Arabidopsis thaliana: one gene and its partners. The protein of the gene in region 1 purifies or fractionates together with the protein of each later gene. This does not show direct contact. Each region holds a gene or a part of one and is shown in the gene's direction. Other genes may lie near its edges.

Region 1 (7,671 bases):
TTGCAGATTTGCTTGTCCTCGGTTGCCCCGCCTTCTCCTTTAAGAGGTGCTGATTGGTACCAATGGAAGCAGCCCACAGGTACTTTTTCTGAAACATTCTCTTCGAAAGGAACTTGGATGCAAATTAGACAAATTTCTCCTCATGTGGCTTGGCATAAAGCTGTCTGGTTTAAGGAATCTGTCCCAAGGTTTTCATTTATCCTTTGGATGGCTTCCCATGAAAGGTTGACAACGAGAGATAGGCTTTTACAGTGGGGTATGAATGTACATGGTTCTTGTGTTCTGTGTGATTCTGGCCTTGATTCCCATGATCACTTGTTCTTCAAATGTGAGTTTTCTAGATCACTTTGGATTTCGCTCGCTGGAAGGATTTCGCCGAATCCTCCACTCTCTTTACCCTTGGCTTCTATGTGGGTTCTTGGTGTACATTCTTCTCCGCCGCACTATGCAAGTAAGATCTTAAAACTTCTTCTTCAAACCGCTGTTTATATGATTTGGAAAGAGCGCAACCGCAGAGATTTCTCAGCAGATGCTACCTCTCTCTCCGCTACAAAAATTCTCGTTGATCGCACAATGCGTAACCGTCTCATCTCCTTCTCGCCGGAGGAATCAGTTACCACTATCTCTCTCCTTGGATTCTACTTTGGTTGTATTAGTACCCCACTATAGGTGTGGCAAAGCTCATATTTATGTATGTATGGTGTTCCATTAGTCTCTCTTCACAAGAGCTCGGTGTGTTTTTGGGGTTTCATTGTACTATGTAAACCTTTTTTCATTTGGTATAAATCTTAACATTAAACCAAAAAAAAAAAAATGTTGAAACCTGTTAACATAGTCTATTTATACTCTATAAGTGCAAAACAGGGTTTTAACATGATTAAGTTTCGTAGTGGAATATAATAGCGGATTGGGATTGTGTTTCATATAGCATTGCCATTGGGATGTAGTGAATCTTGTTTGGAATAACGTATATCGATTTTTTTTTTTTTTTGTTATTTGGGAGATTTTAAGTTCTAATATGACAAGATTATAACATTTAATTTAACATTAAACCAAAAAAAAAAAGATTGTAACATTTTCTGAATTTTTGTAATTCGTTTTACTAGTGTCAGTTTTTTTTTCTTTTACTTTTAACTCTTTCAAATATTTAGTTATTTTAATGTTTTAAAAAAAAAGACTAATTTGCATCACCACTATCTTTGGGTTGAATATTTATTCAATATGTTCCACTATGAATACGTGAATTATGTGTGTGTTTTCATCTACAATTCATACACACACTCTGTCATGATTGTGAAATAAGCAGTAAAACAACAACAATACTAGAAAAAACCACACTTTGGGACATTAGAGTTCGATGTGAATACAATACTAGGATTTTCTTAATGTTAATGGCGATGCCTCTATTCATTCTTCTTCCTCTTTCTTTTATAGTCGTCCTTCACGTGTCCTGCCCGATCCGCAGTATCCACCCTAGAATCTCGTTGATCTCAACAGTTCTTCAGATCTTTTTCATGCCATCTCGCGGTTAGTTGCTTAAGATACACTCCTCGAGCTTGTTGATCAACCGGAAGGCCGACGGATGGGTTTACTAAACAAACTCATCCGTTATTTCCTACTCGCAATACATAGTTCAGCCTGAACATATGTGTCTAATTGATAGGGTAGGCCAAGTAACAACATACACCCAAAAAAAAAAAAATAAAAAAAAAAATAAAAAAATCGTGGAGATTAAAAAAGCTAAACCAATCGACTTCTTGATTAGTTTGATGATTTTATTAATCTTATCGGTTAAAACCGACCGGCGATCGAGGGTTTGGCTTGCCGAGAAGGAAGAAAAAAAAACCCTAAGATTTATTTCTACTCTTCACTCCATTATCGACTTCTCATCATTTCTCTACCCATTGTACTTCTCTGCTCTTGGGTTGTCATCAATTCGCGAATTTGATACACGCACACCCTAAAGAGAGATCCACGCTCGTTTCAAGGTAACCTAAATTCGAACACTTTCGCAGTTTCCCTTCGATTCGAATAAATCACTGTTCTCCGTGGGCAACAATGTACGCCGGCGGCGATATGCACAGGGGTTCACAGATGCCACAACCACCGATGATGCGGCAGTCGTCAGCTTCTTCCACTAACATCAATCCCGACTACCACCACCCATCTGGCCCCTTCGACCGTAAGTAGACTTTGAGCGTCTTCCTTTTATCGGATTAGTGATGACTGTGAGATTTAATGTCTCTCTGTCTGATGTTGCAGCCAATGTAGACAGTTTTGGGGCGAAACGAATGAGAAAGCATACACAGAGAAGAGCTGTTGATTACACCAGCACCGTTGTTAGATATATTCAGGTAATGTATTCCCATTGCTGCTCACAGTATTTCTTTGTTAGAACCTTTTGTACTGCTTGATTATATTTCTCTTGTTTTCTGTAAAGTTTTAGTCTTGGTCTATATACTCATAGCCTCTGCTTTCCCCAGTTGAATTCTTCGGTCCTTTTTATCTCAAAAGCCATTAGATAGGATTGTCTTTATGTCATGGAACTGATATGGATATGTAGTTCAACGAACTCATACTTTATATGGAACTAAAAGTAGAGAGTGTTTACTCCATATATGTTTTTGTTCAGGCTCGAACATGGCAGCGAGACTCAAGGGATAGGACCACTCTGCAACCAACCCCAGCTGCAGCAGTTGATGTTAGATTTCTTTGCTTTTCTGGGTTTTGCAATAAGATTGAATGGTTTACTGATCTAACTTTTATATCAATGCTTCAGATGCTTCCCACAGTTGCCTATTCGGATAATCCTTCAACAAGCTTTGCTGCAAAGTTTGTTCACGCATCTCTAAACAAGAACCGTTGTTCAATCAACCGTGTATTGGTATATCCCTCTACCAGCTGTGTGTTTTGTATTATTCTCTGTTTGCCATGTTTATCTATTCAAGAAAGCAACATCTTTCTTTCTTTGTTTTAACTCTATTATGCCAACTTAATGGGATCATTGCTGATTGGGTTTCTTTTATTTAGTGGACACCTTCAGGAAGACGTCTTATCACGGGCTCCCAAAGTGGGGAGTTTACTCTTTGGAATGGGCAATCTTTTAATTTTGAAATGATTCTTCAGGTTCGTTTCTCAGATTGTATAACTAATCTGTTGAAACTTCTGTTTTGATTCTTCTATAGTTGCTGCTCCTGGTATTGACTGTTTAAATTTGTTGTCAATATCAGGCACATGATCAACCTATTAGGTCGATGGTATGGAGCCACAATGAAAATTATATGGTTTCTGGTGATGATGGAGGCACATTAAAGTAAATTTGTTTTTCCCTTTCAGTCCCTAACTTATGATGTTGTAAACGAGAAGCTCAGAATTCTATGATTCAAATGCTGTGACAATAAGGATCAATTGTTTCTTATGTATCAGGTATTGGCAGAACAATATGAACAATGTGAAAGCCAATAAAACTGCTCACAAGGAATCAATTCGCGATTTAAGGTAAAAAAAAGTTTGATATGTTGAATTGCATTAAATGAATCTCTCAAAACTGAACAATGTGTATCCAACAGTTTTTGTAAAACAGATTTGAAGTTCTGTTCGTGTTCTGATGATACGACTGTTAAAGTCTGGGATTTTACCAAGTGCGTAGATGAAAGCTCATTAACCGGTAATGTTATTTGAACAGATTGGCGGCAGATACTTTATTTCTTTGTTGCTTGCTCTTCTAATTTGAATTTAGAAGGCCGCTTGAGATGTGCTGTACGTTATTAGAATTGGATTCTTAGGCTACATAGGAAAAGGTGTCATTGAGATTCGCTTTGGTGTCATGCCATGTAACGTTAGTTAGTTTTAAAGGTTCCAAATTGGTGCTTATAACAAGTTTCCTATCCTTTTGGAGGCATGTTTTCACAGTTTTCTTCATATTTGTAATATTTGAGAACTTTCGAAGTAATCAAAGGGTTCTTTATATTTTGAACTCAGGCAGGCCATGGTTGGGATGTCAAGAGCGTTGACTGGCACCCCACAAAGTCCCTACTAGTTTCTGGTACATTATTTTATAGACTTCTATTTGAATAATGCAATAAAAAGAAACCGCTGTATATTTCAGAGCTTCTCTATGGCTGATCATTAACCGCTTTAATCTGTGTTGTCAGGTGGAAAAGACCAACTTGTCAAACTCTGGGATACTAGATCTGGGAGAGAGCTTTGCTCACTGTAAGTAGTACATAATGTAATATGTAATTTTATTATAGTTTCATGTTCAAAGCTTTGACGAATTTGATGGCCTATTCTTACTTCTGCAGCCATGGTCACAAAAACATAGTACTTAGCGTGAAGTGGAACCAAAATGGCAATTGGCTTTTAACGGCCTCGAAAGATCAGATAATTAAGGTAAGTCTCACTTTCTTTTGGGTGGGGGGGGGGGGGGGGGATATTGATTTGTAAATGAGATTTTTTCCTTGCATTATGGAAGCATTTGTATGACACTTATGCATGTAATCTGCAGCTGTATGATATAAGGACTATGAAGGAGCTTCAATCCTTTCGTGGGCACACGAAAGATGTAACATGTAAGCTGTCAAATTCTATAATGATCATGTTTTAAACACGTGAAATCAGACAAACTGGCCGCATCAAATTACTTTTCTGTACATTGACTAGGACTCTAGAGTATATGCCTTTGAAAGATTATCATTGTACCCATGCTTTACTTGTCGACATATGAGACATTATCCCATGGATGCGAGTTTTCAATTTGTTTCTTCGATATTTCTAATTTGCAACTATTTCTAATTAAAAGTTGTCTTAACTCTTTTTAAGCTTTGGCGTGGCATCCCTGCCATGAAGAATATTTTGTCAGTGGGAGCTCTGACGGCTCCATTTGTCATTGGATTGTGGGGTAGGTACTGTTGTGCAGCAGTATGCTGTTTTATTTATTCGTTCATGCTGCTATTGTTTTAATCACTTATAAGGGTTTTTTAAATCATGTTTCTTCTCTACATTTTATATTCAGTCATGATGCATCTACATACTAGTAGTCTAGTAGCATCTTACTTTACCTTATATTTTGTGGTTTTTGTTTGAGGTGTATCTAATTATGAAAACTTTTCTTAATTCCCAGGCATGAAAACCCGCAGATTGAAATCCCAAATGCTCATGATAACAGTGTTTGGGATCTTGCATGGCATCCTATTGGATATCTTCTTTGCAGGTAGCAATTTCAATAGTCTGGTGCTATGAGTTCCTTACAGTTTTATTCTATGATGTGTTGTGGTTCCCTGTGCTCTTGAATAACTAAATGCTTCAGATAATGATTTTTAACCCTATTATCTGCAGTGGTAGCAATGATCACACAACCAAGTTTTGGTGCAGAAACAGGCCTGCAGATAATCCCCGAGATGTTCTTATGCAGAACCAAGGTTTGTTTTTGGGCTATTAGTATCTGATTTTTTAGTAGGCATTGGGATGGATAGGTTGTGGGTAGTACATAATTACTATGTCCTTATCCATCTCAGTAGTAAGGATGTTGTGATAGGCTTAACTGGTCAGGCCCTGGCAGGGTCAGTCATATACTCCTATAATGGCTGGTTCGAAATGGACCTTGGCTTTTTAAGGTTCAGGCTCGGCCAGCCATATGGCACCGTGATTAACTGAATTTTTTTGTAGAAAAGAACAGACTTGACTGGTCAAGCTGAGCTGATCTGATATAGGTGCAGATTTCTACAGGCTTTAAAAACTCAGACCCAAGTACTCGGTCATTAGTATCTCACTTACTGTTTTAATTTTGAGCATGTACTTTCAAGTTGCATTTGTCAGAAATTAGTGTTTTTTATTTAGTGTTTACTAACAAATTGAAGATGTGATTTGTGTGTACTGATAAGCGTAATTTGTATCAGGCTATAATGAACAAGGTTTTGGTCGCCAACCTGATAATTTCCAACCATCTGAGGCATCGCCAATCCCTGGAGCATTTGTGCCTGGGTTGACACGGAACGAGGGGACTATCCCAGGAATAGGAATAGCAATGCCATTTGATGCATCCTCTCAAGGGGATCATAAACAGCCTCTTCCAGGTTCCATGGCACTGGGGGCTCCTCCTTTGCCACCTGGTCCCCACCCATCGCTTCTTGGAAGTGGCCAGCAGCAAGGGTATCAGCAACAACAACAACACCAAGGTCATCCCCAGCAAATGCTTCCAATGCCCAATATGCCTCACCATCAGCTACCACCATCATCTCATATGCCATTGCACCCTCATCATCTTCCCCGGCCTATGCAAATGCCTCCTCACGGTCACATGCCACCTCCCTCAATGCCTATGTCTCATCAGATGCCTGGATCAATGGTATGGCCCTCAGATCTCTTGTAATTCAACCACAACTTAAGCCTGGCTTTTGTCGGTACCCCATGTGTTGGATTCCTCTTTGTTTTATTTTCTTAGTGATATCTTAGAGAGGTGTAGAAAGAGATATTAATCCTCACTTGTTGTTGGAGTAGGGAATGCAAGGTGGCATGAATCCTCAGATGTCGCAAAGTCATTTTATGGGTGCTCCTTCAGGAGTATTTCAAGGACAACCAAACAGTGGCGGACCCCAAATGTATCCCCAAGGACGTGGTGGTTTCAACCGTCCACAGATGATTCCAGGCTACAACAACCCTTTCCAACAGGTCCCATTTAAACACTAGTCTTTTGTTATTTAGTATACCCGTAAAGGTTTCACATGTATATATGTGCAAATAGGCAAAATGTCTACACAACAATGCAAAACACCTGATACGATTGAACCACAATACAACTTTCTCAGCTAGTTTTAAACTCACTAGCTAGGTTCAATGGTATGATTAGATGTTGAAAATGTAGAGCTAAAATAGCATAATCCGTTGACTAATCCGTTGTCTATATTTTATTTCGTGCAGCAGCAGCAGCCACCTTTACCTCCTGGCCCTCCACCAAACAACAATCAGCAACATCAGTAGGCAGCCGTTGTATTAGTACATTAGTTTACAACCGCACTGTCTGCGGGATAAAACGATTGAAGTAAAACTATTATATGGGATTCAAATTTCGTTTCTATAAAACAAAACATAAAAAAAAAAGGTTTTTGTTCTGTTCCAATATGCAAATAATTTGTATTAGAATTTTTTGCACCCGTAAAATATTTGAGCATAGTAACAACTTCCATGTGGAGAAAGTATTGATGAAATACTATGATTTATGGCACATGTCTTTTTTGTATTTTTAATAATTAAATTCATATATTTTATGTTAAGTGACCACAGTCATAATACTCTAGTTTTGATACTTAATGTGAACAAGTTACGAAGTTTTAGTGGCTTCACATGTCAAATACTCTAGTTTTCGTTAACCCGACAAACTTTTTTTTTTTTTTTTTTTTTTTTCATAAATTTCCAATTAACCAAAAAAAGTTGCAATACAAAGCCAAAAGGCCAACACAGCACGCAGGCCTGAAAGAACAAAAAACAACCAAATACAAGTTTAAAAGGCTAGATCAAAGGCAGAAGCCCAGAAGACCCAAGCCACCACAGCAGACGGCGAAGGAGCTAGAACACCAAAGCCCGACCCTTTGAAAACCTGCACAAGGAGAAAGCATCAGACTTGAGGAGGATCTCTATTGAGGAAGAGAGAAAACCAAGAACCCAAAAGCGAGA
Region 2 (5,961 bases), on another chromosome or scaffold:
TCTAACTCCTAGAGATAAATTTTCAGATGTCACCTCATACATTATAGAAGTTATTAGTCCCATTACATACCTTGAGAAAACACCCTTATGCCTCGCTCCCCCATGAGTCAACCTATAATTTTCTGTAATCTGAAGGCTACCCCAGTGTGAAATCTCAATTTCACGCACAAGCTCCTCAACAACAGCAAATGGACTGTTATTCTCGAAGTGAATGATGACAGGTGTGTAAGAGTATGAAGCACGATTTTCATATGGTCCATATTTGATCTCTTTGCCAGCCCGGTTAGCAGGTTCAATGCTAGTGAACGACTCTACTCTAGTACTAGGAGTCTTAATAAAAGTTGTCTGTTGCTTAACATGATACGGTGACAATATCACTGCACTATCATGATAGTAAACCAATTGAGATTCTGACTGGGTTATCTCCACTGGGAAAGGTTCCAAGGAATGAGTCAATATGTAAAGCACCTCAAGTGAAACAGTTTCACCCGGACCTAAGGGGCTAATAAACGTAACACGGTAGTATCCAGTGTCATTTGGTGCATCAGGTTGTTCAGTTGGTTTTACATCTAATGGCAAATAAGTTTTCTTCTTCTTCTTGCCAGTAGTTGCCAGGGCTTGTACCATAGCCAAATTCTTGATCTGGGTAGGTGGGAAAGCAAGAAGCATTTCTGCAGCAGGATCTTTCCCAATATTTTCAACCTGAAGAAAGAAATCCAGACAAGAAAATGTCACCTCCTAATAGAAAAACTTAAAGATGATGAAGGAGAAAAGCGATAATATCAAATTAACTGTCACAACGAATCAAAGCCACTAAAGTTCCAACCTTTACAACAAGTATCACTACAATAAACTAAATTTGACTAAAAGAAAAACAGCTGCAGTTTCATATAACATATCCAAAAAAGCTTTAATTTTCCAATTCTAAGTTCCAACCTTCCAGTGTATATTCAATAGGAATAACTATTATAAACATTTGCTTATAAATACCTTGAGAGTCAAGAAGGCCTTCACGATATGTGAGCTTAAATCAATCTGTAGACAAAAACAAACACAAAGGAGAAGCATTTCAGTTTCGGGCAAGAAAATTTTGCAAACAGGTTCTATCATTAGACTTTCTAATTACTCAAATCAAACGTATAACTGATGAAAAGTCACACTATCTATCAATGTACATACATATGAAGCCTATCGATGATGATCAACCATGAAGTGACCAATCACACAGTAATTCTACAAACCGAGTATAGATCGGAGAAACAGCAAAGCCCAACGGCAACTTCATTAACTTGAATTTCCATAAATCGGAGAAACGGGATCCATTAAGGAAGTTTATGAATTGTAAGAAGAAGATAGATCGGAGAATCTTACCCTTCGCTCGGCATTTACGATCTGGAGATCCTGAGCTGAGGAAAATGCAGAAATAGATAACAATACAGCTACGAAGACGGAGAAGATCCCGATACGAGCAGCCATTTTCGTCACTGCAGTAAGAACAAAACTCAAATCAACGAAAGAGCTCAGAGATGGTGAATTGATAGGATTTGGAAGATCAGTAAAAAATTACTCACCGATGAAGACAGAAACAGCAAGAGAGATCGTGGATCGTAAATATAGATACCGACGGCGGAAGGAAGAACGTCGGCCGGCGAAGTGAGAATGATCCGGTCAACTACAAAGTCTCAGTGTCTCTCACTTCTCTCTTGATTTAGGGATTAGTTACGAGCTTTTTTCTTCCTCAGATTAAAAACGACATGAGACGTTGTCGTTTCAAACTTTTAAATTTAATGGGCCGTGAGAAGAACTATTATTGGGCTTCACACCACAAAAATATCGACGGTTGGATCAGACACGTGTAATAACTCCGAACGGTTCCGATGTCACTGAACACTTTGCCGCCATTCAAATTCGTTTGTCGACCTAACTCTGTTTCTTCTCTCGCCCCCTTCAAAATTTTCTCCGGTCACTTGAATTTGTGTTCTGATTCAACGAGTAAGATATTTTTGACCATCGACGAGTTTTGAAACTCAAATTGTTGTTTATTTCTTCAGTAACTATGGCTATCGATTGTCTCGTACTTGGTAACAGTTTTTGTTCTTCTTCTTCTTCTCTCTTTGCTTCTTCAAAGTTTCACAATTTCAATTTCTGTATAATTCTATCTTTTTTGTGTTGTATCCAGGTGCTGGACAAGAGATTGGAAAGAGCTGTGTGGTAGTGACGATTAATGGTAAAAAGATAATGTTCGATTGTGGGATGCATATGGGCTGTGATGATCACAATCGTTACCCAAATTTTTCTCTCATATCTAAATCCGGTGATTTTGACAACGCGATCTCTTGTATCATCATCACACACTTGTATTGATTCTTCAAACCCAGAATTTGTCCCTTTTTTAAAATTCACTTTTTTAGTTTTTGTGGGTTTTAATTGTGAGTGTTAATAGCCATATGGATCATGTTGGAGCGCTTCCTTACTTCACGGAAGTTTGTGGGTACAATGGTCCGATTTATATGTCGGTGAGTTATATTGTCCTCAAGGTGTTCGATGAAATGTTTGACTGACTGTTTTTTTTTTGTGAAGGTAAAGGTTGTTTACTTTGATTTGTCTCTTTTGTAGTATCCCACAAAGGCTTTGTCTCCATTAATGCTTGAGGACTACCGAAGAGTGATGGTGGATAGAAGAGGCGAGGAGGAGCTATTCACCACTACCCATATCGCAAACTGCATGAAAAAAGGTACTTGAATATTGGATTTAGTTCATTTGAGGTCTTTGTGCACGAATTCAGATGCAGTGTCTATAACTTGACTTCCTCTTGTTTTTTTATATGTAGTAATTGCAATAGATTTGAAGCAAACAATTCAGGTTGATGAAGATCTTCAAATCCGGGCTTATTATGCAGGGCATGTAAGACATTCGTTCTGGTTTTAGTGAATTTCTTTCTGTGTTTTTTATATTCAGAGTTTCTGTATTTTTTAAAGCTTATTTTGTATTGATCATAAGGTCCTTGGAGCAGTGATGGTTTATGCAAAGATGGGAGATGCAGCGATTGTGTACACTGGAGATTACAATATGACGACAGATAGACATCTAGGAGCTGCTAAAATTGACAGACTCCAGTTGGATCTTCTCATTTCAGAGTATGGAAAACAAATACAAACTTGTTCGCTGGTATTTTTCAACAAACTTAGAAAGAACAAGTTTACCTGATATAGGTTTAACTATGCCGTTTTAGGTCCACATATGCAACTACCATTCGCGGCTCAAAATATCCCCGGGAGAGAGAGTTTCTTCAAGCTGTATGTCTACTTGTAACTATTAACACATGGTTTCTAAATTTGTTCTTAAATGGTTTTTGATTATAATTACCCGCATCACCTTTGGCTTGTTTCTGATCAATATACCCCTTCAGGAAATGCTTAAGCTTTCGTTTGGTAATTGTCTGATATCTCAGAAAACTCTTCCAGGTTCATAAATGTGTTGCTGGCGGAGGGAAGGCGCTGATTCCTTCATTTGCTCTTGGAAGGGCTCAGGTCTGTCTTCTTACAGAGCTTTGAAGTCAGTTACTTAAACTTGTCTTTGCTTCTCTTATGTCTCATTGACAATTGCGTTTCCTTTTTCAGGAACTCTGCATGCTGCTTGATGATTACTGGGAACGCATGAATATAAAGGTTCCAATTTACTTCTCATCAGGTCTGTTAAATCACCACCAATCCTCATATGAAATCAATTCTGCAGATTAGTCAGCTCAACAAAGTCGTGACTCTATTTCATGAATAGTGATCTCTATCTTCTGAAAATTGCTGTCCCTGAAGATAAATTTGTACTTTTGCAGGTTTGACCATCCAAGCAAATATGTATTACAAAATGCTCATCAGCTGGACAAGCCAGAACGTTAAAGAAAAGCACAATACGCATAACCCATTTGATTTTAAGAATGGTATGTGTACTACCATTTGCAAATAACTTTAGAACGTTGAAGATGAAATTTATATCATATGGAACCGAAACTCTGATGTGCTTGAAAAATAAGAACCAAACTAGTGGTTCTAATACATCCTTTGCGTCCATTTTTTGTTCTTATCCACTACCTTAGCTGTACAACTCTGCTTGCTTTCTAACTACTACCTTCACATTCTGCAGTTAAAGATTTCGATCGATCTCTTATACATGCTCCTGGGCCATGTGTTCTCTTTGCCACACCTGGTATGCTTTGTGCTGGCTTTTCACTTGAAGTGTTCAAGCACTGGGCTCCTTCTCCCTTGAATCTTGTTGCATTACCCGGGTACTATACCTATTGTGTTTCCCCTTTATTAGCAATTCAGTTTTTTCCTAGCATAGCATCTAACACGAAATTGTATCTCTTTTCATCCATTTATGGATCCGTTTTTTACAGATACTCTGTGGCTGGGACCGTTGGGCACAAACTGATGGCTGGTAAACCCACGACGGTTGATCTCTACAATGGCACCAAGGTCGATGTCCGTTGCAAGGTTTGTTTACTCTTTCTTCTGGTTCTCACAAAATTTATGTAACCTTAACACGAAAACAGCAATGCGTCCAATTCACACGTTGAACCTAAACTAAAATGTCTTGTTGATTCTGTTGTTATCAGGTACATCAAGTGGCTTTCAGTCCTCACACAGATGCAAAAGGAATAATGGATCTCACAAAGTTCCTTTCCCCAAAGAACGTTGTACTCGTGCACGGCGAAAAACCCAGCATGATGATTCTTAAGGAAAAGATAACCTCAGAGCTTGACATCCCCTGTTTCGTCCCTGCCAATGGCGAAACAGTTTCATTCGCTTCAACCACTTATATAAAAGCAAACGCTTCTGATATGTTCCTAAAAAGCTGCTCCAACCCGAATTTCAAATTCTCAAACTCTACTCAGCTCCGTGTTACAGACCATAGAACCGCAGACGGGGTTTTGGTAATAGAGAAGAGCAAAAAGGCAAAGATAGTTCACCAAGATGAAATCTCTGAGGTGTTACATGAGAAAAACCATGTGGTCTCTTTAGCTCATTGTTGTCCAGTGAAAGTTAAAGGAGAATCAGAAGATGATGATGTTGATCTAATCAAACAATTGTCTGCAAAGATCTTGAAGACAGTGTCTGGTGCTCAGATCCATGAATCTGAAAACTGTTTGCAGGTTGCATCTTTCAAGGGCTCTTTGTGTCTAAAAGACAAGTGTATGCATCGAAGCAGTAGTAGTAGTAGTGAAGCTGTGTTCTTGTGTTGCAACTGGTCTATCGCAGATTTAGAGCTTGGCTGGGAAATCATCAATGCTATCAAACTAAATCACTGATTCTTGTAACACTGAGAAGTGTTTTCAGTTTTTGTCGTTTTTCTGTCGGCATATGTAAAAGTTTTGATCCTAGTAAATTAAATTAACCCAGTAGTAACTAAACTTACCAACTTTAGCGCCAATTTCTATCTAACAAAGTAACACCCGTATTAAAAACCGGAACCAATTACCCGAAACTGAATCTGAATCCGAAAATTTACTTGTGTCCTAAATTCTTCTACCCTAAAAACCAAATCTGAAGTCGAACCCAAAAATACATGAATATTTTAATCAAAAATTTAAATTTTATTCGAAATCCGAAAAATTTGCATATTTACCCGCAAAATCAAGTATGGTTCTAAAAAAGGCCTAAAATCTATACACGAACCGATATTTTAGATTTACCCTATAGAATCCTAAACTTCTCTACCCGAAAAACCGTATTCGATCGAATTTTACCCGAATCCGACCCGTTTATCCGAATGGCCACTCCTAACCGGATCCTTTAAGGTTAAAGACGTACGACTTATTGTGATAATGATAATTAACTTATAAGACTGTGTCTAATCTTCAATTAATGTTAATTAACTAAAACCATTTTTTAAAACTGTCCGCCATGGCTTAGCGTTTTCTAGAGCAGAGAGAAAGAAGAATCTCAATTCTCTTCGTTACTAATG
Region 3 (4,563 bases), about 17 Mb from region 1:
TTCTTCTCCTTGAGATCCCAGATAATGCCAACTTCTTCTTCAAGGATTTTTGTATCAAAGTAGTCATTTTCGTTACCAGGTGCAGAAACAGTCCACTTGGAGTAGTTGATAAGGTCACGTTCAAGGTTAAAGTGATGAATGGCATATGTGTATGCAACAGACACAGATCCATCCTTTTCCCATGAGACATGAGCCTCTTCTTTCTCCTTCTCCACAAGAACCTTTTCAACTCCCTCTTCTTTCCCTTGAGCTTCAAGTCCCTCTTTCCTCTCCTGAACCACACGTTGAACTCCTTTGGCCACTAAAGGATGCCAAAAATCCTCGAAAAGGAATCGAGGCTTTGGAGCCTAAGAGAGTATCTCTTTGTGAATAGTTTTAACAAGCACAGTGTAAAAATTTTCTTCCTTGACATTTTTTCTTCTGGTAATGAGAAATAAGATAAAAATTTGGAGAAAAAGAGGATGAAGCAGAAGAAGAAGTATGTAAAAAGAGTAGTTATAGGTGGTTAAACTTAAAGCTATCATTGTTGTCGTCTTGTATGGGGGAGGAACACTCAAAATCGTTTCACAGAGACTTGCAGGAGGTTTCTTATTTTATGAGGACAAGAGGTGAGAAGTAGAGGAAGCCCAAAGTTGGTTATTTTCCTTTTCAAGATTTTTCAACAATTAATAAGAAATATTATATGAACGTATCTTTAAATCAATTAATTATTAGCATTTGTTTTCATAAACCTTATAAGGCATCCCCTTGTTCTCCAAAACAATTACTGTCATCCTCTTTCTAAGTGAAAATTATATTTTTTTTTATCGTCTCTAAGTTGTTTAAGGGGTTAAAATACTAATTACAAAAACACAATCTAAAACATAAATAATAAATACGTTTATCTCTTACATATTTTTGCTGAGATTTTTTTATTAGAAGTATAAAGATTTTTGGGGAAATTTGATACTAAGGATCTTTTTTAGAACTAAAAAGGAAAACAAAAATATTTTACAAAATGATATATTTCGATATATAAAGTTTTAATGCAGTAATGAAACTCAAAATGATTGATAACACTTTCTAATACTTTTATGTTGCAAAAACAAAATCATGGTGCAAAATCCACTACTTTTATGTTGTAGTATATTTCTAGAAGAAATTTGGTTTCATGGTATATATTGGGTATTAAATAAAGATTGGACTATCTTCCCTTTGGCTTTGGTGTGTCATAGATAGTGATAAGAAATACCTCTTTTTTTGGGCATTATTTGTTGACAAACGATATAGAAAATTATAAACAAAATAAAGATCATTGGAAAAACATCATTTGACCAAAGATGTGTATATGTGTCCCAATCAGAAAGTTCATAACAAGTTCCTCTCTTCTCTTCTCAATTCTTATGCATCCACATCATCATTGATTTAATGCTTTTAAAAACAGAACATTACATTTATTTTTTTAAAAATGTATTACTTTTTGGACAATACAAGTTTGATACATATAACGGATTTCGCAAAATATTTCATGTTCTTTTTGCAAACAAATAATCCCCAAAAAAAACTAAAGGAAAAGAAATTCGTAAAGACCAAACTCGTAATAAAGAGTATATACTGTTTCCCCTTAAAAAAAAAAACCAACCTAAAATTAAAACCCGTGGGTTTAAGGATTTGATCTTTTAATGTTCACAAAATCGAGACCCTAAATTGCTCTCACACTCACTTCCCAATCTTCTTAGTTCAATTTCAATTTTTAGAATTAGAATCTCTGAATCCCAGATTCCGGTAGAGAAGATGAGTTTCGCGGCCTATAAGATGATGCATTGGCCTACCGGCGTCGAGAACTGTGCTTCCGGCTATATCACCCACTCTCTCTCCGATTCAACGCTACAGATTCCGATTGTTTCCGTTCATGATGATATTGAAGCTGAGTGGCCTAATCCTAAACGAGGTATTGGTCCTTTGCCCAACGTCGTTATAACCGCCGCAAATATCCTTGAGGTGTACATCGTTAGGGCTCAAGAGGAAGGGAATACTCAGGAGCTGAGGAATCCGAAGCTTGCTAAGCGTGGTGGAGTTATGGATGGTGTCTATGGTGTTTCTCTCGAGCTCGTGTGCCATTATAGGTACGTGTTTGTTGACAATTACCTCCTAAATTACTCCAATTTTGGTACTTTGACTTTGAAGTGACGATGTGATTGGTATTGGATTGTAGGTTGCACGGTAATGTTGAGTCAATTGCGGTTCTTCCTATGGGAGGTGGTAATTCTTCTAAGGGAAGAGATTCGATTATATTGACATTTCGCGACGCCAAAATTTCAGTTCTTGAGTTTGATGATTCAATTCACAGCCTTAGGATGACGTAAGAGTGTTTTGCTTTTGTTGGTTTTGGTAAATAAATAAATGAATTCAGCTTTAGTTTCAGCTCTGTCTCCTCTCAATTGTTTCTTTTGACCTATATACGAGATGTTCTGTGTCCAACTATTGTTTTAACTGTTTTATACTTCTCAAAGTTTTGGTCTTTACTTACGCATTGTTATTGTTTCTAGCGATGCAAGTTACGTAGTATTGGATCATATACTGAAGCGTTCTATTGTCTATGTCTGATTGTTTCTTCTAGTTATCTAATTTATGTACCATTGACTCCTATACATGACTTCAACAAATAATAATGGATATGTGGTTCCTTTTCAGTTCGATGCATTGTTTTGAGGGTCCAGATTGGCTTCATCTGAAAAGAGGAAGAGAGTCTTTTCCAAGAGGCCCTTTGGTAAAAGTGGATCCTCAAGGCAGATGTGGCGGCGTTCTTGTTTATGGTTTGCAGATGATCATACTCAAGACTTCCCAGGTTTTTGTTTTGGCATTATTAATCAACTTCATCTTAACTGTCGCTTTATCTGCTACAAATTTCCAACCTTCATTCTTTTCTTTTATGAACTTTATTTTGGGTTTTAGGTTGGTTCTGGACTAGTTGGAGATGATGATGCGTTCAGTTCTGGAGGGACAGTTTCTGCTCGAGTTGAATCATCTTACATAATTAACTTGCGTGATCTGGAAATGAAACACGTCAAAGATTTTGTTTTTCTACATGGTAGGTTTAGCAAGCAAGGTTTCTTCATAAACTTATCTCTGAATCAGTAGTTAATCATAAATATATTATGATGATTGTTTCTTAGCTGCTCAACTTGCATCGAATCTTGTGTCCTTGAATGGATCTAGCTTACTAAGTTGTTGTTTGTAGATTCAATACGACAACTGATGTATTCTGGTCATGATTACAGTTTGAAACAAGAGGAAATGTATTGTTTCTTTGATTTTTCAATAACTAGCTGTCTGAAATTTTAGATATTCTAGTTTTCCCAGTAGGCATAAAGAATAAACTAAGTGGTGCTTCTTTTGATTATGTGTTTTTGCATCCTGTGTCTTCTTCAGGTTATATTGAGCCTGTAATTGTCATCCTTCAGGAAGAAGAGCATACTTGGGCTGGGCGAGTTTCATGGAAGCACCATACTTGCGTGCTTTCTGCCCTTAGTATCAATTCGACATTAAAACAACACCCAGTCATCTGGTCAGCTATTGTATGTTCGTATTTTCCTCTTTGTATCTTATAATAGATCTCTTCCCAAGAAATTAAATATTTGAGTTGCACTATTAACTATATTGTAAGCTAAGGGTAGAAATTGAAGTCATCTAAAAGGTTATTGAATATCCACTGTTGTTACATGACTAGACTTTCCAATCAGCTATGACGATGCTCTATTTTTTGTTTAGAATGCTCAAAGAGTTGATCTTTCTTTAGGAAAAATTTCCTAAAATAACAAGCTATTTCATGACTGAAATAGTTACTTCGGCAAACGTTAGTCCCTGATCATACTTATTCCCATTCTTTTGGTATTTTCCAGAATCTGCCCCATGATGCCTACAAACTACTTGCAGTACCATCTCCGATCGGAGGTGTTCTTGTGTTGTGTGCAAATACAATCCATTATCATAGTCAGGTAGTTTTATATTACTTAGCTTTTGGTTGTTTCTTGTTTAAAATTCAACAATTCCAGCCACTCCACCTCAAAGTTCTACAGTTACTCACACATCTGGATACCATATATATTTGTAGTCAGCCTCCTGTGCTCTGGCACTGAACAATTATGCCTCCTCAGCTGATAGCAGGTACAGTTTTCTCGCACCTCCCCACTCTTCAAAACCTGCTTCATGCTTATGGATATAATCTTGTTACCTCAGTCTTAGTTTAGAATCCTAAAGCTTAGAATCAACTTTCAACATTTGTAAAACTCTGTTTATACTGTTAACCACATTTCTATCTCTGTGTGCGTCTGATTTCTTTCAGTCAAGAACTGCCTGCATCAAATTTCAGTGTGGAGCTTGATGCTGCCCATGGAACCTGGATATCGAACGATGTGGCCCTATTGTCGACAAAATCTGGGGAATTGTTGCTGCTGACTCTTATATATGATGGGCGGTAGTATTTTGATCTTCTTTAAAAAAAAATCTTCTGACGCTTGTAAAGCTGGCTGCAACTTATTTTGTTTAAAATATGTGAAACTGACTGCTACTTTCTTTTTTGAA
Region 4 (5,768 bases), on another chromosome or scaffold:
GACTTGCAACGATTTTCAGCAATAAATTAGATTGAAATAAAACATGAACCTGAAGATAGCAAACAATTATAAAGCTACCAATCTACGACACTTTACACAAGTTATTGACGTCCTAGCCAAATAAAGACATATATAGCAAGATCCCTATAACATACAGGTTCACACCTCCATTACAGTGTGGCAATCCATAACAACATCAAAGACAGCATCAAGTCCTCCAAGTTCTCTCAGTTTCTCCTTGAACATTCCTCCAGATTTTTTCACAGTACCAGAGGTATCTGGATGGGGAATGATAATATCAATAATTAGAAATTTATAAATCAATTATAATCTGGTCGTAGGATTCTATTACCGCTGACACATTTGTTAAACTGATTCACTGAAGCAGATAACATAACTTTCCAATTCTATAACTCAATATAATATACCAGATGCGTCTTAAATAGTTAGCTAGTCATTGTTCCAGCAAAACAGACAGGAAGTTAAAGTACCATCAAAAGAGATTTTGGACAAGCACGCCTTCTCCATCACCAACAAAGCTACCCATTTCGTACTTAGCTCAGGCCTCATCCTCTCGATTTTATAGCTATCAATCAATCTCAACTCCTTGCAATTAACAAGAATTTCCTGAGCTCTGTCAATTATATCACAGGAGCTTAAATCATGCATACTGGCTGCATCACGTGCTGCATCAACATCCTTGATTATTGATAAGAGCCTAGATCCTATATTCCGCGGCTTTACTTTAGTACTGGCAGAAACCACAGGTCTCAACAGCTTAACCAAAAACTTGATGGAGTTGGGTGACTCCATAAAGTGATCATCTTGACCCTAGAATCATGAACATAAAACTAGTAAACAAGAGAAAAATGCCAATGGAGCAAGAGAAAAGAGCATCACAAGCAGATTTCACAATGCAAATAAGTTACTTACATCAGTAGTTAGCACAAAGAAAAGGGTAGCTGCAGCAAGATTGCTTGGTATGTCATCAAGGCAAAGACCCAAAATCGCATCAATTATGGACTGTGAGATCCTGAAATAACAAAATTCAGAAACTTTTAAAAGAACTCGACTTCAAACAAACCCTAGAAAGTCTAGAAAGGAAGATACTGAAAATCTTAAGTAAATAAACATACCCTAAAGCTCTCAAAGAGCGTCGCTGATACTGAGATTCACAAATCGAGAGTAGAGAGGACAAAGCAGCTCTTCTGATCCTAACTTTATGTCCTTTCTTCAACCCATCAAGAGCGAAGTTAACTTCGTCCTCATTCTCAATTAACTCGCCGAACTCTTGAGCCTCCATCAAAGTCGAATTCGAACCAAACCCTCCACCACCGTTTCTGGGTCTCTTGTTCCTCTTCTCAGAAAAATCATTATCCGAAAAAGTGGATCTTGAAGAATAATTCCAGACACAAGATGATTCTTGAGTTGAGAAATCAACTGGCTCGAGTTCTGGAGATGAAGAAGACGGAAAAATATGTTCCGCCCGCGAGACGTCGTCGTTTAACATCCCCGGCTTGCGACGGCCGTAAGTTCGCTCCATCATCGCCGAGAAAGCTTCGAATTTTCTCTTCGTTCGCAGATTTGAGTGACAAAATAAGACAAGGGTATTTTCGGTATATAATATGACTTTCTATATAAATATAATATTTTCAATTGCTATGTATTGACCGCATAGCGCAGTGGATTAGCGCGTCTGACTTCGGATCAGAAGGTCGTGGGTTCGACTCCCACTGTGGTCGTTTTTTTTTTTTTAAAGGCTTTTAGGGTTTGAAGATATACACTAACTGAAATTGCTGTACTCAGTTCTTTGAGTTTCTTCTTCTCTTGGAGGAAAATCGAGAAAGACGAAACATGGCTTCTTCTTCTACTTCTCTGAAAAGAAGAGAGCAACCAATTTCGCGAGATGGAGATCAACTTATCGTTACTCCGTTAGGAGCCGGAAGTGAAGTGGGTCGTTCCTGTGTTTACATGTCCTTCCGAGGCAAAAATATTCTGGTCAGCTTCTCCGTTTTGTTCTAATCAAGCAAATGTGTTTTGATTTTGTTGTTGGGGCATGTCTTATAGTTGATTTTGGTTGTGTTGTGCAGTTTGATTGTGGGATTCATCCTGCGTACTCGGGCATGGCTGCGTTGCCTTACTTCGATGAGATTGATCCTTCTTCCATTGATGTCCTCTTGATTACTCAGTATGTTTCCTTCTTCTTCCTCTTTTGGCTAATACCCATTAAGAAAAATTGAAACTTTGAAGAGAAAATGATAGTCTTGATTTGAATAGAATGATAATTTGAGCAAAATCTTCGAAGTTTAAGTTTGTTTATACAAAAACAGAAGGATGATGTGTAGTAGAGAGACCTTCTTGGATTAATTAGTTCAAGCTTGTAGGAGGCTAGAGTTTGTTCTGTCTCTGTTTGTCTACTTGAAAGAGTTTGTGTTTTGTGTAAGAGGTTTATTGGGTTAAGATAACATATAATGTGTTGATGCTTTTGGTTGCAGCTTTCATATAGATCATGCAGCATCTCTACCTTATTTTCTGGAGAAGGTTTGTTTCTCTTTTCAAAATGATTTTGTTTTTTGGGATGTGTTAAAACATAGCTGAGAACTAATTCAGGTTATTGATGTTTTGATCAGACGACATTCAATGGGCGGGTTTTCATGACACATGCAACAAAGGCCATCTACAAGCTGTTGCTTACAGATTATGTAAAAGTGAGCAAAGTGTCTGTGGAAGATATGTTGTTCGATGAACAAGACATCAACAAGTCTATGGACAAAATTGAGGTTAGTACTGCATTATATTCTATGACTATGTTTATACTTTGACTGCTCCACTAGGTTTGGGATAAGTTCAAAAGAAATTAAATCTGCTTCAAAACTGTGATTGTTGAGTTAAGGTTTATATTTGATTTCCTCTATAGGTAATTGACTTCCATCAAACAGTTGAAGTGAATGGCATAAAGTTCTGGTGTTACACGGCAGGCCATGTTTTGGGTGCAGCCATGTTTATGGTGGATATAGCTGGTGTCCGAATCCTCTATACAGGCGACTATTCCCGTGAGGAAGACCGACATCTGAGAGCAGCTGAGCTTCCTCAATTCTCCCCTGACATATGCATCATTGAATCCACTTCTGGTGTCCAGCTTCATCAATCTCGTCATATTCGTGAGAAACGCTTCACTGATGTAATCCATTCAACGGTTGCTCAGGGTGGACGTGTGCTGATCCCGGCTTTTGCACTGGGCCGTGCTCAGGAACTTCTCTTGATTCTTGATGAATACTGGGCGAACCACCCAGATCTACACAATATCCCAATCTACTATGCATCACCACTCGCCAAAAAGTGTATGGCGGTTTACCAAACCTACATATTATCTATGAACGACAGAATCCGCAACCAGTTTGCAAATTCTAATCCGTTTGTGTTCAAGCACATTTCTCCATTAAACAGCATCGATGATTTTAATGATGTCGGTCCATCTGTGGTAATGGCTACTCCTGGAGGTCTTCAAAGCGGTCTCTCAAGGCAACTCTTTGACAGCTGGTGTTCAGATAAGAAGAATGCTTGTATCATACCAGGTTATATGGTGGAAGGTACACTGGCCAAGACGATAATTAATGAACCAAAGGAGGTGACTCTTATGAATGGTCTTACTGCTCCGCTCAACATGCAAGTGCACTATATATCGTTCTCTGCTCATGCAGATTACGCGCAGACGAGCACGTTCTTGAAAGAGCTCATGCCTCCTAACATCATCCTTGTTCACGGTGAAGCTAACGAGATGATGAGGCTCAAACAGAAGCTCTTAACAGAGTTTCCTGATGGAAACACAAAGATCATGACCCCGAAGAACTGTGAGTCAGTGGAAATGTATTTTAATTCTGAGAAATTGGCGAAAACCATTGGGAGATTGGCGGAAAAGACACCTGATGTTGGCGATACAGTAAGCGGGATTCTGGTGAAGAAAGGGTTCACTTATCAGATAATGGCACCTGACGAACTCCATGTTTTCTCACAGCTATCAACAGCAACTGTAACTCAGCGAATTACAATCCCGTTTGTAGGAGCTTTTGGTGTGATAAAACATCGCCTGGAGAAGATTTTCGAGAGCGTGGAATTTTCAACAGATGAGGAATCGGGGCTTCCAGCACTGAAAGTTCATGAAAGAGTAACGGTGAAACAAGAGTCAGAGAAGCACATCTCACTTCAGTGGTCATCAGATCCAATAAGTGACATGGTTTCAGACTCCATTGTAGCTCTGATTCTCAACATCAGCCGAGAAGTCCCCAAGATCGTTATGGAAGAAGAAGATGCTGTGAAATCCGAGGAAGAGAACGGGAAGAAAGTTGAGAAAGTGATATACGCACTTCTTGTTTCGCTTTTCGGGGATGTGAAACTAGGAGAAAACGGGAAACTGGTGATTAGGGTCGATGGCAATGTCGCTCAGCTGGATAAAGAGAGTGGAGAGGTAGAGAGTGAGCATTCAGGTCTTAAGGAAAGAGTGAGAGTAGCTTTTGAGCGGATTCAGAGCGCTGTGAAACCAATCCCTCTCTCAGCTTCTTAGTAGCTTTTTAAAGTCATCGTTGAGGTATCTTAAATCATCATAGAGTTTTATCCATCTGATGATGTTTCTGTTCCCATGTTTAGTAATAGTGAATGATCAAGTCTAATGGATGTTATTTAAGAAGGTGTTTATTGAGAAACTTTGCTACTACCCTACTGTGATAATGATCAAGTCTTATGGATGTTATCAACTATGAGTTTTTAACTTTTTTAGGTTTTTTCATAAATCATTTTGCTGATTCGTGCTTTTCCCATATGCATTTTTCTATCATTATGCTGATCTAGGATATGGAAGCAAAAGCTTTGTGGTGCATCAAGTTAAGAGGTTTCTAAAGTTAAAAAAGTACTAGGCTTCTTCCAGATTCTTTGTAAGACATATTAGTGAGCCTTGCTTTTGATATTTGCAGTTTCATGAATACACGGTGTCGTTTGATGCGTTTCTACCAAGCCTCTAAAGTACAAGGCAGGTCTGATTGAGCTAAAGTAAGGTAGAAGAGAGATTGTAATGAGCACATTTTCTATTATTTTTCCACGTACAAAGTATACATTATTCACATCAGTGAATGTCTCTTGACCTCTATGTTTTGGCAAGATGTCTAGTGCATCAAGATATTAAGACCAAATCTCTACAATATTAAAATGCTTAATTTTTTTTTTTGTAGATTAAAGTTTCTTTTTTAATTTTATTTATAAAAGCTTCTACGTTCTACCGTATCCAAATATGCATCAATATCTGCAGAGACTGCAGTTTCATATAGGCGGGAAAAGCAAATGCAAAAAACAAATCGAACCTGACCCAACTAAAATCAAAGGCTCTCTTTTTTTTTTTTCATTTCTTTCCAAATTGTCATTTTCAGTTTCTTCGAATCCAGACACAACAAATCCGAACCTGACCAAAACTGAAAACTATGTCAGCCTACGAGTACCCGAGGCTCTCTCGTTCCGACATTATCACGGCGCTCAAGGATGCTCAAATCGCTAGCGTTACAGAGACCGATCTCAAAACCCCAACTTCCGACTTTGTCTCCGAGCTTTACACCAGAATTCTTATCTATCTCGACGCCCTCGACGAGTATGTACTCCTCAAAACCCTAGTTCCTCTCTTAGCTCTTCACTCAATTTTACCCTCGATTTTGAAACTCTTCGTCTAGTTTCGAGCTAGGTCATCGAATTCTGTCAGAAATTATGTTAAATATTGAATCTTTGGG

Evidence for each region.
Region 2: the proteins of FY (region 1) and CPSF73-II purify together in Arabidopsis thaliana (affinity purification with western blotting; one study listed by BioGRID). This does not show direct contact.
Region 3: the proteins of FY (region 1) and CPSF160 fractionate together in Arabidopsis thaliana (co-fractionation; 3 studies listed by BioGRID, with this or other methods). This does not show direct contact.
Region 4: the proteins of FY (region 1) and CPSF73-I purify together in Arabidopsis thaliana (affinity purification with western blotting; 2 studies listed by BioGRID, with this or other methods). This does not show direct contact.

The regions. Positions count from the first base shown.
Region 1 is NC_003076.8:4,325,945-4,333,615, reverse strand, and holds FY (Transducin/WD40 repeat-like superfamily protein), read left to right. Parts: upstream 1-1,644; 5' UTR 1,645-1,988; exon of another isoform or gene 1,989-2,058; coding exon of another isoform or gene 2,059-2,094; coding exon 2,095-2,182; intron 2,183-2,262; coding exon 2,263-2,354; intron 2,355-2,563; coding exon 2,564-2,701; intron 2,702-2,779; coding exon 2,780-2,884; intron 2,885-3,030; coding exon 3,031-3,126; intron 3,127-3,230; coding exon 3,231-3,313; intron 3,314-3,426; coding exon 3,427-3,498; intron 3,499-3,569; coding exon 3,570-3,667; intron 3,668-3,985; coding exon 3,986-4,045; intron 4,046-4,154; coding exon 4,155-4,215; intron 4,216-4,304; coding exon 4,305-4,392; intron 4,393-4,507; coding exon 4,508-4,571; intron 4,572-4,821; coding exon 4,822-4,900; intron 4,901-5,122; coding exon 5,123-5,212; intron 5,213-5,337; coding exon 5,338-5,420; intron 5,421-5,897; coding exon 5,898-6,346; intron 6,347-6,498; coding exon 6,499-6,669; coding exon of another isoform or gene 6,670-6,687; exon of another isoform or gene 6,688-6,837; intron 6,838-6,918; and 4 more.
Region 2 is NC_003071.7:318,541-324,501, forward strand, and holds CPSF73-II (cleavage and polyadenylation specificity factor 73 kDa subunit-II), read left to right. Parts: upstream 1-1,892; 5' UTR 1,893-2,056; coding exon 2,057-2,081; intron 2,082-2,179; coding exon 2,180-2,357; exon of another isoform or gene 2,358-2,443; coding exon 2,444-2,516; intron 2,517-2,616; coding exon 2,617-2,734; intron 2,735-2,830; coding exon 2,831-2,904; intron 2,905-3,000; coding exon 3,001-3,137; intron 3,138-3,232; coding exon 3,233-3,296; intron 3,297-3,464; coding exon 3,465-3,530; intron 3,531-3,620; coding exon 3,621-3,690; intron 3,691-3,832; coding exon 3,833-3,937; intron 3,938-4,140; coding exon 4,141-4,282; intron 4,283-4,393; coding exon 4,394-4,490; intron 4,491-4,612; coding exon 4,613-5,305; 3' UTR 5,306-5,423; downstream 5,424-5,961. Other genes in the region: AT2G01720 (Ribophorin I), read right to left, coding at 71-702, 991-1,035, 1,372-1,476; RIE1 (RING-finger protein for embryogenesi), read left to right, coding at 5,959-5,961. UniProt on the Arabidopsis thaliana protein: Component of the cleavage and polyadenylation specificity factor (CPSF) complex that play a key role in pre-mRNA 3'-end formation, recognizing the AAUAAA signal sequence and interacting with poly(A) polymerase and other factors to bring about cleavage and poly(A) addition.
Region 3 is NC_003076.8:20,978,477-20,983,039, forward strand, and holds the start of CPSF160 (cleavage and polyadenylation specificity factor 160), read left to right. Parts: upstream 1-1,528; 5' UTR 1,529-1,773; coding exon 1,774-2,105; intron 2,106-2,194; coding exon 2,195-2,341; intron 2,342-2,673; coding exon 2,674-2,827; intron 2,828-2,934; coding exon 2,935-3,070; intron 3,071-3,411; coding exon 3,412-3,557; intron 3,558-3,881; coding exon 3,882-3,977; intron 3,978-4,093; coding exon 4,094-4,146; intron 4,147-4,324; coding exon 4,325-4,456; intron 4,457-4,563. Other genes in the region: AT5G51650 (uncharacterized protein), read right to left, coding at 1-347, 732-773. UniProt on the Arabidopsis thaliana protein: CPSF plays a key role in pre-mRNA 3'-end formation, recognizing the AAUAAA signal sequence and interacting with poly(A)polymerase and other factors to bring about cleavage and poly(A) addition.
Region 4 is NC_003070.9:22,473,747-22,479,514, reverse strand, and holds CPSF73-I (cleavage and polyadenylation specificity factor 73-I), read left to right. Parts: upstream 1-1,749; 5' UTR 1,750-1,854; coding exon 1,855-1,998; intron 1,999-2,090; coding exon 2,091-2,188; intron 2,189-2,495; coding exon 2,496-2,541; intron 2,542-2,630; coding exon 2,631-2,780; intron 2,781-2,917; coding exon 2,918-4,561; 3' UTR 4,562-4,585; exon of another isoform or gene 4,586-4,845; 3' UTR 4,846-4,885; exon of another isoform or gene 4,886-4,967; 3' UTR 4,968-5,248; downstream 5,249-5,768. Other genes in the region: AT1G61030 (WAPL (Wings apart-like protein regulation of heterochromatin) protein), read right to left, coding at 166-278, 492-831, 934-1,033, 1,137-1,546; AT1G61000 (kinetochore protein), read left to right, coding at 5,469-5,632. UniProt on the Arabidopsis thaliana protein: Component of the cleavage and polyadenylation specificity factor (CPSF) complex that play a key role in pre-mRNA 3'-end formation, recognizing the AAUAAA signal sequence and interacting with poly(A) polymerase and other factors to bring about cleavage and poly(A) addition.